Linked DNA regions of Notamacropus eugenii. The protein of the gene in region 2 interacts with the protein of the main gene of each other region in a biochemical or structural test. Links are inferred from orthologs where the notes say so. Each region holds a gene or a part of one and is shown on either strand. Other genes may lie near its edges.

Region 1 (6,846 bases), on a different chromosome or scaffold from region 2:
TTAAGTTTTTATGCCTCTTCAGGCCCACTAAGAATAGACAGACAATCTCTTGGGAGAGGCATCAGATATTATGCTAAGATACAGAAGCAAAGACAGTCCTTACTTTTAAGAAGATGACATTATAGTGGGAAAGACAATACACATAGAGGAATGAAAGACACTTTATTACAGAAAATTACAGGGACAGAAAATTCCCCATAGAGTAATGGACTGACACACCCCATCCAGGAACATTTATCATATTTCATAGTTCCAGAATTGGAGAGTGAGAGATGAGAAGGAAATGCTACCTGTGCATTCAGCTTGACAAGAAGAAGAAAGTGGAGGAGGAGTGAAGTGAATCACGGCTGGGACTTTCCTGAAATAATGGTCCCAGTGAGCCAATTACCAGTCAGGTAAACAGGGCTCAAGGCAGAAGTTCCTCCAGGGCATGCTCTCTGGTCAGGTTAGCAAGAAAACTGTCAGAGGGGGCTATGAAGGAAGTGGTCAGAGAGAAGGGAGGGAGGTGAAGCATGGCTGGGGCTTTCCTGAAAGAGTGGTCTAGGAGAGGTAGTCATCAACCAGGAGATTGGACCCTATTGCTACACTTCTAATAACTGTTAAGACAGTAATACTGATTTTTATTTAATGTCTTCAAGCCTACGAAACTAGGGAGTTTGAGAGCGAGGAGATAATGCTTTTATAGGTAAAGAAACAAGTCAAGTCAAGGAAAGGTACATTTTAAAGTACTTACTATGTTCCATGCTGGGTACACAGAGGGAAAAAACAGACCCCAATATGAAGGAGTTCACAGTTTAATGAGAGAGATAACCTGCAAATAACTATGCATAATGTCTATTTCAACTTATAAATATATGATATAATATCAATTTAAATTATTATAAATATTATGCATAATAGTATATTACATATCATGTATTATATGTAATATTATGGAAATATCTTCTACATCTTCTATAATATATGAATTATATCAAAATATCATTATAAATATCAATTTATATATACAGAATAAATTGGAGAGAATCTTAGAAGGAAGTTACTAACTAACATTAAGAGGGGTTTCTTGAAGAAGGTTCTATTTTAGCTGAGACTTGAAAGAAGTCAGGGAAGCCAGAAAGCAGAGATGAGAAAGCATAGGATTCCAAGCATAGGCGACAGCCAGTGAAAGTGCACAAAGTTGGGAGATGGCATGTCTTGTACAAGGAATAGCAACGAGACCACTGGAACATGGGGTGAAATAAAGTGCAATAAGACTGAAAAGGTAGGAAGGGGCCAGATTATAGAGGGCTTTAAAAATCAGAGTATTTTATATTTGATCCCAGAAGTGATCAGGAATCCCTGGAGTTTATTGGAAGGGAGGTGGCATCGTCAGATATGCTTTAGAAAGATCATTTTGGTAGCTGAGAAGAGGATGGACTAGAGTGGGGAGAGACTTGAGGCAGGGAGATCAACCAGCAAGCAATAGCAATTGTCCAGGCTTGAGATAATGAGGGCCTGACCAGGGTCATGGCAGTGTCAGAAGAAACAAAGAGAAATTATTAAGATAAAATCAAAAGACCTTGACAACAGATTGGATTTTGGTAGGGAGTGGAGTAAAACAGAATGAAGAATTATGAGCCTGGATTACTATGAAAATGATGGTCCCTTTGATAGGAATTGTCAGGTTAGAAAGTAGGGAAGATTAAAGGGAAAAGATAACAAATTTAGTTTTGGACATATTGAGTTAAGATTATAAGATGTCTAGTTCCTTATTCCTAACAGGCAGTCCAGGGGGTGATACTAGAAGTCTGGATAGAGGTCAGGGTCAGATAAATCTGAGAATCATCTACATAGATATGAAAATCCAATCCAGTTCTGATGAATTTATGAGATCAACAAGTGAAATCGTATGGGGGGAGGGGGAGAAGAGAACGTGGCTGAGATCCTTAGAGGACACCCAAGGTTAGTGGTAGTGACCTGGATGAAGATCCTGAAAGACGAACTAAGAAGTCACACCAGTAGAAGAATAACCAGGAAAGAAGAGGGTCACAGAAACCTGTATAGAAGAGAGGCCCTAGGAAAAGAGGGTGATTAACAGCCTCAAAGCTTGCAGAGAGACCAAGAAGGAAAAGGATTTTGAAAAGGCCATTAAATTTGGCAATTAAAAGGTCATTGGTAGCCTTGGAGAGAGCAATTTCAATTGATTGAGGTTAGAAGCCAGACTTCAGAGAGTTAAGAAGAAAGTGAAAGGAAAGGAAAGTAGAGGTACCAGTTATATGTAAATGGATTTCTTAAGGAGTTTAGCCACAAAAGAGAAAAGAGACATAGGATGATAGCTAGTGGAAATGGACTGATCAAATGAGGGTTTTTTGACCAAGGCTCTGTTGTGGGCAATATGGAAGTAGTCAGTAGACAGGGAGAGATTAAAGACTGGTGAGAAGATAGGGATGATAGGGCAATCAACTGGAGAAGATGGGATGGACTGGAGATTCACTTGCGCATGCAGAGGTCCTTGGCAAGGAGAAGAGGAACCTCTTCATGACAGATGGCGAGAAGAGATAGTAGAAAGTGACTGATGTGATATGAGGAAGAGGTAAGAAGAGGGAGTTCTCAGTGAGTAACCTCAACTTTTTTCCAGTGAAATATGAGACAAGGTTCTCAGCTGATTGTTGGGGGTTAGGGAGAGCCATGGGAAGCTTGAGGAGGGATACCAAGTTTTAGAAAAGCCACTGTGGTGAGCGGGCTAGTGAATCAGTTTAGGGAGGTATACGAGCATTGCCTTGGTGTAGGGAGAGCCCAGTTGTGATTACACAACAAATGTAGAGTCGGCGTCCAGGCAGCACAGTTTATGATTTTCTCCAGTTTAACTGAGCTGCACAGGAATACAACAGTGGGAGCAATCCAAGGCTTGGCAGGGCAAGATCTTCAAGAAGAGATAATTCGGAATTGAGCTGGTTCACCAAGGTGTGAAAGCGGAGGAGACGGTAGTCAGCATGGGAAGGAACTAGAAGTTGCAGTAAGCGGGTCCTAAGGCAGAGCGCAAAGAGGGAGGACAAAGATAATGACCGGATAATTTCAGCATTCCTAAACACGGAGGTAAGAACACTGGCGGGTGATGGCAAGATCTAGCTTACAACCACATGTGTGTGCAGAAGTAAGTCGTGGGAGGTGAGCGGGGTGCAGAACTGGGCAGTGAGAGTATCCGAAGTCCCCTAGTGCAAACAGGGCAGGAGAAGAGAGGGGAAGAGAAGGGGAGAGAAAACACTGCGCCAGGTACCGAACTCATGGTGATACCGATGGCCATAAAGCTGGATGAGGATGAAGTGGCCCTTACCAGAAAAGAGATTACCAGTGAGGGTGAGGGTGGTGGAGGGAAAGCTTGGGAGCAGCCACGGGACGCATGAGTGTTCCGGGGCGGCCATCGAGACCGGCAAGGTTTCTCTGATTCTTATAACCCACAGATAACTAGTTAAGAAATCATGTCTTCTTCTATTCACGTATGAGGCCAAACCTTGATTACCTTAGGATTTGGGACGAGAGGACGATAATGAAACACAGGGCTGAGAGACAGGTTTGATGTTTGTTCAGGTCCTGAGCTACACGAGGAAGCGCAGTCTCTACGCCCTGTTAAACTATACACAGGGTGTCCCAAAAGTCTTGGGGCAGCTTTTAAGCCCCCAAAGACGCCGTGCGGGTGCGCCAGGCCGGAAGACTCGCGGCGGGTCTGGGAGTCTGCACCGGGCCCAGCCCGACGTCCTGCCAGTGCGCCGGCAAGCACTGAACCCTCCCCCTGCGCCAGCGCCGGCCCAAGAACCCCAAGTGAGACCCGACTCTGCTGCGCCCGGAGAGCTCAGGGTGCCTTGGGGGAGGCCCCCTTCACCCAACACATGGGGCAGGAAGGCCTTCGAGGCCTGGCGGGGCGGGAAAGGAGGAAGCGTCTGGTGAAAGGAAGAACCGCGTTGGGTTGCAAGGAGGGAGGAAAACTCGGGGCGGAGGAGGACGGTAAGTCACGGCTGTGAAAGAAGCGGGGGGGAGGGGGGGGCCCTTTCGGAGTGCGCAGGCGCAGTGGCCTCAGCCGGGGTTTCTTCCCCTCCCCTCCCCCGCCCTCTTTCTTTTCCGCTCTCCGCGCCCCCGCCCCCCTCCATCCCCATCTCGTTCTCTCCTTCCCCTTTAAGCTCCCGGCTGGTCGCGTCGCCGCTTCATGAATGGAGCCCACGTGACCAAACATCATGTGACGTCTGTGGAACGGCGGCGGCTGTGGCGGCTGTAGATCCGCGAGCCTGGTCCCGTCCCGGCCTCAAGCCTTGTCCGGTCCGGTCCGGTCCGCCGCGGTCCGGACCCGCGCAGCGCCGTGCGGCGCCGCCCCACCCCGCCCCGCCCGGCCTCCGCGCAGCCCCGGCCCGGCGTCGCCGCCCAGCCCGCCGTCCCGTCCCGGGTCCTGAGTCTCCGCCCGCCCGGGCTCGGCCTCCCTCCCTCCCTCCTCCCCTGCCCCCCGCCCGCCCGGTCCGGGCCTCGGCCCCGCTGTGTGGTGAGTACCGCGCGGGCTGGAGGGCGGGCCCGGGCCCGGGGCTGCGGGCGGGCGGGGCGGGCGGGGAAGTGGCCGGGGCACCCTGGCCGTCTGGCCGGCCCTGCCGCCGGGGTGGAGTCGGGCGGGGCGACCCGGGAGCCGCCCTCGGGGCCCCGGGGGTGGGGGCAAAGCTGTACCCGCGGGCGTCAAGTCCAGCCGCGTCGCGCCCGCCTACGGAGCCCAGTCCCCGTGCCTTGGTTTCCCCTTGGAGCCCAGTTGGGTGTCTCGGTGGTTCTCGATGATGGGGGGCGGGAGGAGTCCGATTTGCACAGTCTTTGGGGGGACCGGGGTGTGCAGACCCACCTAAGCCCTGTCTGGGGGTGTTAATGTACGTGAGTAAATGCCCGGAGGTGCGGTTCGACCGGGATGACCTCCCCCGACCCTGCTGGGCCGGGAGCGGTGAGTCCCACGCTTGTTGGTGGGGAAGGCCACAGCACGGTGTGGTTGCGGAGAGCTCTGACCGAACAAAGCTGCTGATTCATCAGGTGTCTGTGTCAGCATCTTCCCGTGTGCTGGGGCCTTTCGAAGAAACCGGAGGAAAGACGACTGGGCGGGTGGGAAGGGAGGAAGGGGAGGTAGAGACCACCCGGCTGTGCCCCCCTTCCCGCAGCTGATGCCGGAGCCCTTGGCAAAGACTTGCTGACTCATCAGCATGAGGTCACTGGAGGCTCATCCTCGTGCCCGAGGGGATATGAAGGAGCGGGTGACAGCCCTCACTGAGTAAATTTGGAGGGAAAAAAGTGAAACGGGTGTAAGGACAGCCTAAAGGTATTGTTATTGAGGACCGGGCTACTTAAGTTTTAATTGGCATCCCAGAATGCTAAAGCTGGAAAGAATCTTAGAGATCATCTGGTCCAACCCCTAAATTTTGCTGGTGTGAGGAAGGCTGAAATGTGTCATGTTAAAAGTTCCCTCAGGGAGTAAAAGACCGGATTCTAGAGCCTTGAGTACATACTCTCCCACCCCAACAGCTTGTGGGGGACAGCACTTTACTCTTCCTTTTTTAGTTACCAGAACTAGTCCCAGGTCAAGGACACTTCCTGAAACTGTTCAGTAGTTCAGGGACACATCTGGAAGGCAGAGGACCTTGTCCACATGACTAGTGCAGCAGATCAGACTGGGTAGCTGTGAAGGAAGGAGTTGTGGGGAGAAGAGGATGTATGTGTAGAGTATATGGGGGGCAAAGATGACAAAGGCGGGAGAAAGCTGGTTTCCAAGGACACTTCAAATATTCTGGGAAATGGCAAATGAAGGAAGCAGGACTTTCTGGCAAGGCTGGGTGTGCCTAAGGTGCACAAGTTTTCAGTCTATAGTCTCTGACTTGAGACCTGGATTGAGGAAAGTGGGTGGTCTGGAGCATAGAGGCTTATGCTAGAGCAAAGAGCTATGTGGCCAGGGGCAGGAAGGAGCCCATGAACCTTCAGCTTAACTCTGTAAGGGAGTACTTCCTGACTAGGGTTTATGAGGCTAATATTTGTAGAATGGTGGTATATGGGTGAGAAAAAGGTGCTGACTTCTTTAGAGCCAAGTGTTCAGTTATTTGGAGGATTGAGTATCTTAAAGGATTAGCATTGTTTATAATAGACTCAGGAGGTTATTTCCTGCACATCAATGGGTTGATAGTAGGAACACACATGTACACTCTGACCTAGGTTGTCTGGCCAGAGGTCACCAGGTCCTCTGACCCCACCCCAAGCAAAGACTACTAACCCACTGACATTGGTGTGTGAAATTCTGCCACCAGAGATTTAATACTTTGACTCAAGGCATTTTCCGTCTGTTAAAATACATATATCCTTAGGAGGGATAACACTTTAAATTTAATCAATCATTTCTATTTTAGTGTAAGTTAGTTTATTATATACCTCCCTGGGCTTAGATTTTGACCAGAAGAAAGCCCCTTGGGGATGCTGGGAACCCAGTGGGGAGTAACACAGAAAAGAAGATAAGAGTGGCAGGAGTGTGTGTGTGTGTGTGAGAGAGAGAGAGAGACAGAGTGAAGATGTACAAAAGGAGCTGGTGGTGCTGAAGTTTTCGAAAACTTGTTGGTTGTACTGGTCACATGGTTTTGGAAATTAAAGAGGAATTAGATCTTGACTGAGGCTTTGACCCTTTAAGTGGTGAACAAAGGGCTGACAGTTGCCTGACCTAATTTCAGCTGGGGTCCCACTGGGTGGGAGGGACAGTTGATGTTGATAGGGACTAGATTGGCTTTTGGACCTTTCCTTTGCTTTGAACAGTACCTTAAACAAGGTAAGTGTTGTTTTTTTGCTTGAATTTGTTAAATAAGTGAAAGT
Region 2 (7,216 bases):
ACCAGGAATAATGGTGTCCTCACTAAATGCTAGGCACACTTGAAGAATTGAGAGACCTCGGTATGTACCATCCTTTTCCTCCCACTCATCCACCCATCCATCCATCCATCCATCCATATATACACATACATACAGTCACATCATTCCCCTGCCCCAACCCAAGGTTCCTAATAGATTAAATTTGGGTGCTGTATGTGTGGCAGAGGAAAGTATATGGAAGAAATGTAAAAGCAGAGAATGGGTCCACTCAGGATGTTTGGTCCCCTGACTCAGTTTATTTTTTGTCCCTTAGGAAAGATGGAAAAAAGTAGGCTCAGAATTAGAAATGAAGAGTGAAAGAAGAAAGAGAAAAGTGATTTTTTTCAGAGAAAAGCCTGGTTTGGGGTCAGAGAGACTAGAACAGGGAAAGTGAGCATTATGGAGAGGAAGGGTCTTCCTTCTTTACCCTCTCTTCTTACTGCTTCACCAAGGAATAAGCAGGGTAGAAGCTGGAGAGGAGATGGACTGGATAGCATTCTGTCTCCCCCCCAATCTTCCCCAGCTATACTTACAACCCCCTCCCCAGCCACACACACACACATACATACACACACACAGACAGACACACACACACACACACACACACACATACACACATGTCTGAGTTACTGAAGCCCCCAAGGAACAGGGTCCTGTCCTGATCAACAAACTCTTCCTTTCTAGCTCTCTCTAGGTTGGTCCTGTTTTCTCTCCTTTCTTTCTTCTGTTTCTTTTTCTCTCAAGTTGTAGCCAACTTTTCTTCACCACCACCACCACCACCACCAGAGGTAAGCTCATCTCCTGATAGAGATCCCAGTACAGGAACAAAAACCCTGAAACCAAGACACATACTAGGAAGCCCAGAACTCAAGGATATTTTGGTTCTAGAGCAGAGTGGAAACCCTGGGAAGCAGGATTTGAGGGTTTCTCCCTCCTCTCCTCATCACCTCCATTTCTCAGGTCTTGGTGCTCCTTCCATAGATGACCCCAATTCTCTATTCCTCATCTACTAATGGGGTTCCAAGATCTTTCTGTAAGCGTGTAAAGATCCCATCAATAATGTTCAGAGCAGAAGAGTGGGGAAAAGTCAGGGGTTGTGTGAGGGGAAAGGTATTTCCATCCTTACAAATCTCTGTATCCTTTTGGGTATATTAAACTGCTATTTGCATGGGCTAAGAAAGAGACCATTCAACATGGAGGTAAGAGGATGGGGAAAAAATGGACCTAGACTGGAACTCTATGCACTGTGAATGACTACCTGGAAAATGGTAGACAAGGAGATTTCCCTCAGAAATCCTCACTCAGGTGAAAGTCACTAAGAAATCAACTTACATGGAACTAATATCCCTCAGTGTCTCCCCACTAATCCTTGGCCCTCTCCCCCAGAGTATCCCCACATCCTTTCTCCTCAGAGTGATCTTTTTCACCATCTATTCACTCCTTTTTTTTCCTCCCCTTTCTACTGGGTCTCTCAACCAACTGTTTCCTGAAATAGAGAACCCTAAGGGCCCATAAGGATAAAGATATCTTTGAACGGCCTCTTGACCATCACCAGGTTAGGGGGGAGAAAACATTATCCCTTCCCCATCTCCTGGCACAAATCCTTTAATTTCCCCTTACAGAGATGAGGTAGAACCAACCCAGAGATACATCCATTCCTACTTTCCTGAGGAACGGGGAAGACAGAACCTCAGGAAAAGGCGCTGAAAGGGAAAGGATTCTATGGCCAAGGGAGAGAGAAAAACCATAAAATTATAGATCTTGGGTCACAAAAGGACCTCAAGACATCATGCCTTTTTACACGTAGGGCACTGTCTTGCAATTAAAGATGAGACAACAGAGAGTCAGAGGGTTTCAATGACGTAGGCAAGCTCATATAGGCAGTTACTGGTAGAGAGAAAAGCAGATCCTAGGTCTTTTGCCTGATGACACCCTGAAGGGGGCAAGGGCAGAAGACCCTTCCAGGGGAAGTCAAGAGAGAGAGAGAGAAAGAGAGAAGTAGTCAGGTTTAGCTTGGGGACAGGTTAAGGGAAAGAGGGGGCAAATCTACAAAGTAAGAGACATTCCCCCTACCCCTCCCTTAAAGGGACTCAGGAGTGACTGTTCTTCATTCACTTTGCTTTTACACAATTTCCGGCCAGAGCCCAAAGTAGGGGGCCAGAGGTTTGGGGTTCCGGTGTCGAAATGGCATCAAGAACAGAACACAAACACCCCACCCACTTGGCCCCAGGACACATGGGGATTCATCCTATGACTACACCCAGACTGAACTCAAGTAGGCATTTCTCCAGGGTCAGGCCCATGCACACTGTGGCCTGGTGGAGGGAGGTTGGGAGGGAGGCAATGATATTGGGACAAGTAATTGGAGGAGATCAGTGAGGGTAGGGAATTAGGGAGAAAAGAAAACACTGGATGGAGAGTCACGGGGTCAGTTTTTAAATCCAATGTCTGTCCATTGTTAACTGCATGAACTTGAGTCTAAGTTGTCTCTAGTCAATAGCTTCCTCCGCTATAGTAGGAGAGGGATGACGTGTCTAAGGCCCCTTCAGATAGAAATCTACAATTCCATGATGCAGGGGATAGAGGACACCAGAAGAGTAGAGAGAGTCAATAGGGGAAGAAGGTAAAGGGCCACTGGAATGATCCTCATGTTTCTGGGCATTATTCTCCTACTTTTTTAATATTACTAGTAAACCTTAATAATACCTTATACATACATAAGATCCTTCCTGGTTCTCACTAAATTGGGTTACTGAATACTACTCTTTGAGTTTATCTGTCTAATTAAAAGGTAGAGTCTATGTTAATTAACCTGGTTGATTAGGAATGTCAGCTTCTGAGGCCATACATACTGCCGAGATCATTAGATCATTTCTTTCTTCAGGTATTATTGAGGGTTTCTACTATGCTGAAGGATTGCTAATAAAAGTGAGTTTGCCCTCCATTCTCCTAGCCACTAGGTCTCTAACTCTAAATGATGAAGAGATCCCTATTGATGTCTCCCTCAAACCCCTTCTGCTCAAATTTCTTCTTATCTCTTTTTGCTTGAGTCTTATTGAGAAACCCAATGAAGATGATGGCTGTCTTGACAGCTTTTAGAGGTTAGGACAATTTTTTTCTCCCACTGACTCCCAACGACCTCTCCTCAAATCTCCTCACCATGTCCTACCTCTCCCATCAGAGAAAGGATGAGGAGGAAAAGGATGTGGGCTGGAGAGAAGAGGGCTGAGTTGGCTAGAGAAAAGCAGATTGGGAACGGGGATAAGGGTAATGATCCCCATGTCTCCAAAAAAGATTCCTCAGTGGATGGAACCACTGGAAATACCATAGGGAAGAATGTATTGAGGTTAAATAATAAGAACTTCTGAATAAGCAGAGTTGGGAAATGAAAGAATGAAGAAGGAAAACTGGAGACAGATTTGCTTCGAAAAGATCTCAGTTTAAAAAGAAACTTGTTTGTATGGGCTGAGGAATGGATAAAATGACCTCTTTGGGCCCACAGGCATAGAGGTTATGCCTAGAATATGCCTATCTTCCTTTTCCTACTCTGCTCTTTGCCCTAGGGCTGATAACTTCTTATCTCCCCCAGCCAGGAGGAGCCTAGGGTGGGGAAATAGGAGAGGGTTATCGAGGACCAGGCCTGGGGTTGAGGTAGTTGCCTCTTTCCAAGGCACTACCCCCTTAAGAATCTCATGGTTCTTACATGTCCTAGGAAGAAAAAAATTAAGATTCAGGAAAAGAGAGGCAAGATGGGGGAGAGAAATAAATAAATTCCTGATGTTGTCCCAGAGAAAAAACCCTAGATTCCTGGCTCCTTCCCCTGACTATGGAGGTGGCTTGAGGATGTGAGGAGGAATGGAAGAGAAAAGGTCTTTAGTCTAGGGAAGGTCAGGGACCTGCTACTGCCTCTCCAGGGACAAAAAATTTATTTTACAAGGGGAAGGTGGATTCTGTGATACTAAGGACTCATAAAAGGAGGTGGTCAAATGAGGGAAGTCTTTTCCCCTTAGAGGATCTCTCAGGAGTCAGAGAGTTGGTAGGCGTGAAATGCCCCTTCCCACCTACGCTGATGGAGGTACAGAATACACTCTGGTAGGGGAGATCCTCACCCTCTCACTTCATCATTTCAGGTTGCTTGGGTGACCTCGGCCGGGGGGGAGCCTTCCCTGGCTCCTGGCCTGGTAGGATGCCCCCGTGTCCTCCACAGCAGAGCAGGAACCGGGCTCCGCTACTCGCTGCCCCAGAGCTGGGAGAGATGGAGCTGACCTGGCAGGAAATTATGTCTATCACAGAGCTGCAGGTGAGAAGGGGAGGCTGGGCAGCAGGGATGGTCAGGGGTCTAAGGAGAAGGGCTAGGAAATGCAGATGCCTTAGCAGGAGTAGGCCTGAATGGGAGATCAGGTGAAAATCAGCCATGCCCAAGGCAGGAGGTGGGGATGGGGGAGGGCTTTGGGCTAGGTAAACAAGGGAGGAGGTACTAAAGGGGGGGTGGGGACAGAAAGGGGGTACCTGTGGGTGGTGAGGGAAACCTAGGCTCTCTCCACTGCTTTCTTTCCTCTCACTTTTCTTGCTTGCCCACCTCCTTTCCCCTTCTTTCTCTTTCCCGTCGCTATCCCCCTTCCTTTTCTGCTGCCTTACTTAATCCCCCTCCCCATACCTTCTTACTTCCTACATCATCTCACCTCCTTAACCTCTCCCTACTTAATCTCGCCTTACCCCTCTTCTCACCGGTGCCCCTCCCCCCAGGTAACCGAGTCTGGGGCCTTTAAGGGAGGACGATGCAGGGGTCCCCTCCTCCTGCTGGTCAGACAAAGGGGTATCTGTTGAACAGAACAATGACTTCTTTGTCCCTGGTTGGGTAGGGATCTGGGGTGGCCGCTGGCCATGGGCTGGGGGCAGTTCTCATAGCAAGATGACTGCATCCCTGCTTGGACTGACTGGCAGATGGGAGAGAGAAAGATGGAAGCAAGGGCAGGAAGAAATTGCCCCAATCCTCCAGTCTTGGATTGCCCCAGGGCTCTTCACCTCCAATTCTTTGCCCCTTTCTGACTCTCCTCATCTCCCCACCCCCCAGTATTATCCCCTTTTCCAGACCTATTTTTCTTTTCCTCAGTTCTGGCCCCCTCCTCCCCCCTCCCCCAATATATCCCACTCTTCTACATGCCCCATTCTTCTGTCACTTTCCCTTCTAGCTCACTAAAATGCCTCCCCACCCCCATCTCCCTAAATTCTAGGTTTCTAAACCCAGATGATAATCCAATTTTATAATGTCCTGACCCACTCCTGCTCTCACATCTTACAAAAATAACTGCACTATAGATTCAGGGGTCCCTCATGGGATCACAAGAACTCCTCTGTCTCAGACCACCTCTACCAGACTGCCTTCCACTCAGCAATTGTCCTAGCCAATTGGCAGAATTGTCCCAAAAGAATTTGGCCATAGGAGAGGTTTGACATCCATCCCCCTGTCTCTACACAGAAAGCTTCGTAGGATTATAGAATCATAGATCTAGACTTGGAAAAGACCTCTAGTCCAACCTACTAATTTTACAGATAAAGAAAATGAAACCCAGTGAGGCTGACTTGACCAAGGCCACACGAACAGACATGTTATGAAACTAGGTCTTCTGATTCCAGAGACAGTACTCTTTGTATCGTAATGTACTACTCTACTTCCATCTTAGAACAATGAGGATCTCTTTTAAATTTTAAAACCTTCCCCCAAAAGATTCTACAAACTAAATGTTTTGGGTAACCCTTCCATATTAAACTCAGTATTTTCTGTAATTGACAACACCAACAATGTAGCTAGCATTTTAGTAGTGCATTTAGATTTGAAAAGTGCTTTACAAATATTACCTCAGTTCATCCTCACAATAACCCTGGAAGACAGGTGCTAATATTATCCCCATTTTACAAGTGAGAAAACTAAGGCAAATAGAGGCTAAGTGACTTGCCCAGGGTACACAGCAAGGCAGTATCCAGTCAGGTCTTCCAGACCCAGGGTTCAATCTACTGCGCCACCTAGCTGCCTCTTTATTTGCATTTTTGTCTAAGGATTCAGGGATTCTTCTTATCTTTTATTTGGGTCAAGGACTCTTTTGGCCATGTGGCGAAGCCTGTGAAACCCTCCTGAGAATCATGTTTTTTAAATACATAAAATAAAATATCTATAGCATTGCAAAGGAAATCAATTGTAAAGAAATAAAATTTATCCAAATTTTTATTTAAAAAAGAAGTTCTTGGACCCCAGGTTTAAGAACCCCTGCTGTAGTCAGAACTCAGTGAATAGGCCATATTTTCTGTCCCGTCCTATGTGCTATCTATGACCCCCAACTTCTTGCCTTTAGACTTTATCTTTTCAGATCCTTCAATCAGTCATTCAGTCAACAAACATTTGTTAAGTATTTACTGTGTGCCAGCCATTGTGCTAAATGGTGGAAATACAAAGAAAGGCCAAAAAAAATTCTAAAAAATTAGACCCTCCCCTCTAGGAGCCCACAGTCTGAAAGAAGAAACAACATGCAGAGAGAAGATATATGCAAGACAAAATGGAGATTATCACAGAGGGACAGCACTAACATTTAGCAGGGTTGGGAAAGGCTTTTTGTTGGTGGGATTTTAACTGGGACTTGAAGGAGGCAGGAGACAGAAACAAGGAAGGAATGAATTCCTTGGGGTCAGGGGGTGGGGGTGGGGGTGGTACTGGAAGGGGTTTGGGTCAATAATGAAAATATATGGAATTGGGAGATGAAAGTGTTTTGTTGGAAAAACAACAAAGAGAAGAGTGTCACTGAATAACAGTATACGAAAGGCAGCGAGTTGTAAGAAGAACGGAACGGGGGAAGGTTCAGGTTATGAAGGGCCTTAAAAGTCATAGGAGTTCATAATGAATCCTGGAGGTGATAGGCAGTCACTAGAGTTGATTGAATGGGGTGGTGGGGTAGGCCCAGTATGTTTAAGGAAAATCAGTTTGATGGGTGAGGGGAAGGACTAGAGTGGGGAGAGACTTGAAGCATAAAGACCAACAGCAGGCAGTTGTAATAATCCAGGTAGGAAGTGATGAGAGCCTACATGAAGATGGTAAGAGAAGGGGGCATATGGGGAGATGTTACAAAAGTAAAATCGATTAGGACAGATTGGTTTAGGAGTGTGTGTGTTGGGTGGCGAATGCAAATTGAGAAAGGAAGATAAGCCA

The links. The genes of interacting proteins can lie anywhere in the genome.
Region 1: the proteins of NFE2 (region 2) and MAFG form a complex in vitro, tested with the Homo sapiens proteins (2 studies listed by BioGRID and IntAct, with this or other methods). The link is inferred for Notamacropus eugenii from reciprocal best matches to the Homo sapiens genes NFE2 and MAFG.

The regions. Positions count from the first base shown.
Region 1 is NC_092873.1:326,073,873-326,080,718, reverse strand, and holds the start of MAFG (transcription factor MafG), read left to right. Parts: upstream 1-3,837; 5' UTR 3,838-3,984; intron 3,985-4,157; 5' UTR 4,158-4,510; intron 4,511-4,664; exon of another isoform or gene 4,665-5,317; intron 5,318-6,846. UniProt on the Homo sapiens protein: Since they lack a putative transactivation domain, the small Mafs behave as transcriptional repressors when they dimerize among themselves.
Region 2 is NC_092874.1:227,422,209-227,429,424, reverse strand, and holds the start of NFE2 (transcription factor NF-E2 45 kDa subunit), read left to right. Parts: upstream 1-4,204; coding exon 4,205-4,318; intron 4,319-7,216. UniProt on the Homo sapiens protein: Component of the NF-E2 complex essential for regulating erythroid and megakaryocytic maturation and differentiation. Binds to the hypersensitive site 2 (HS2) of the beta-globin control region (LCR).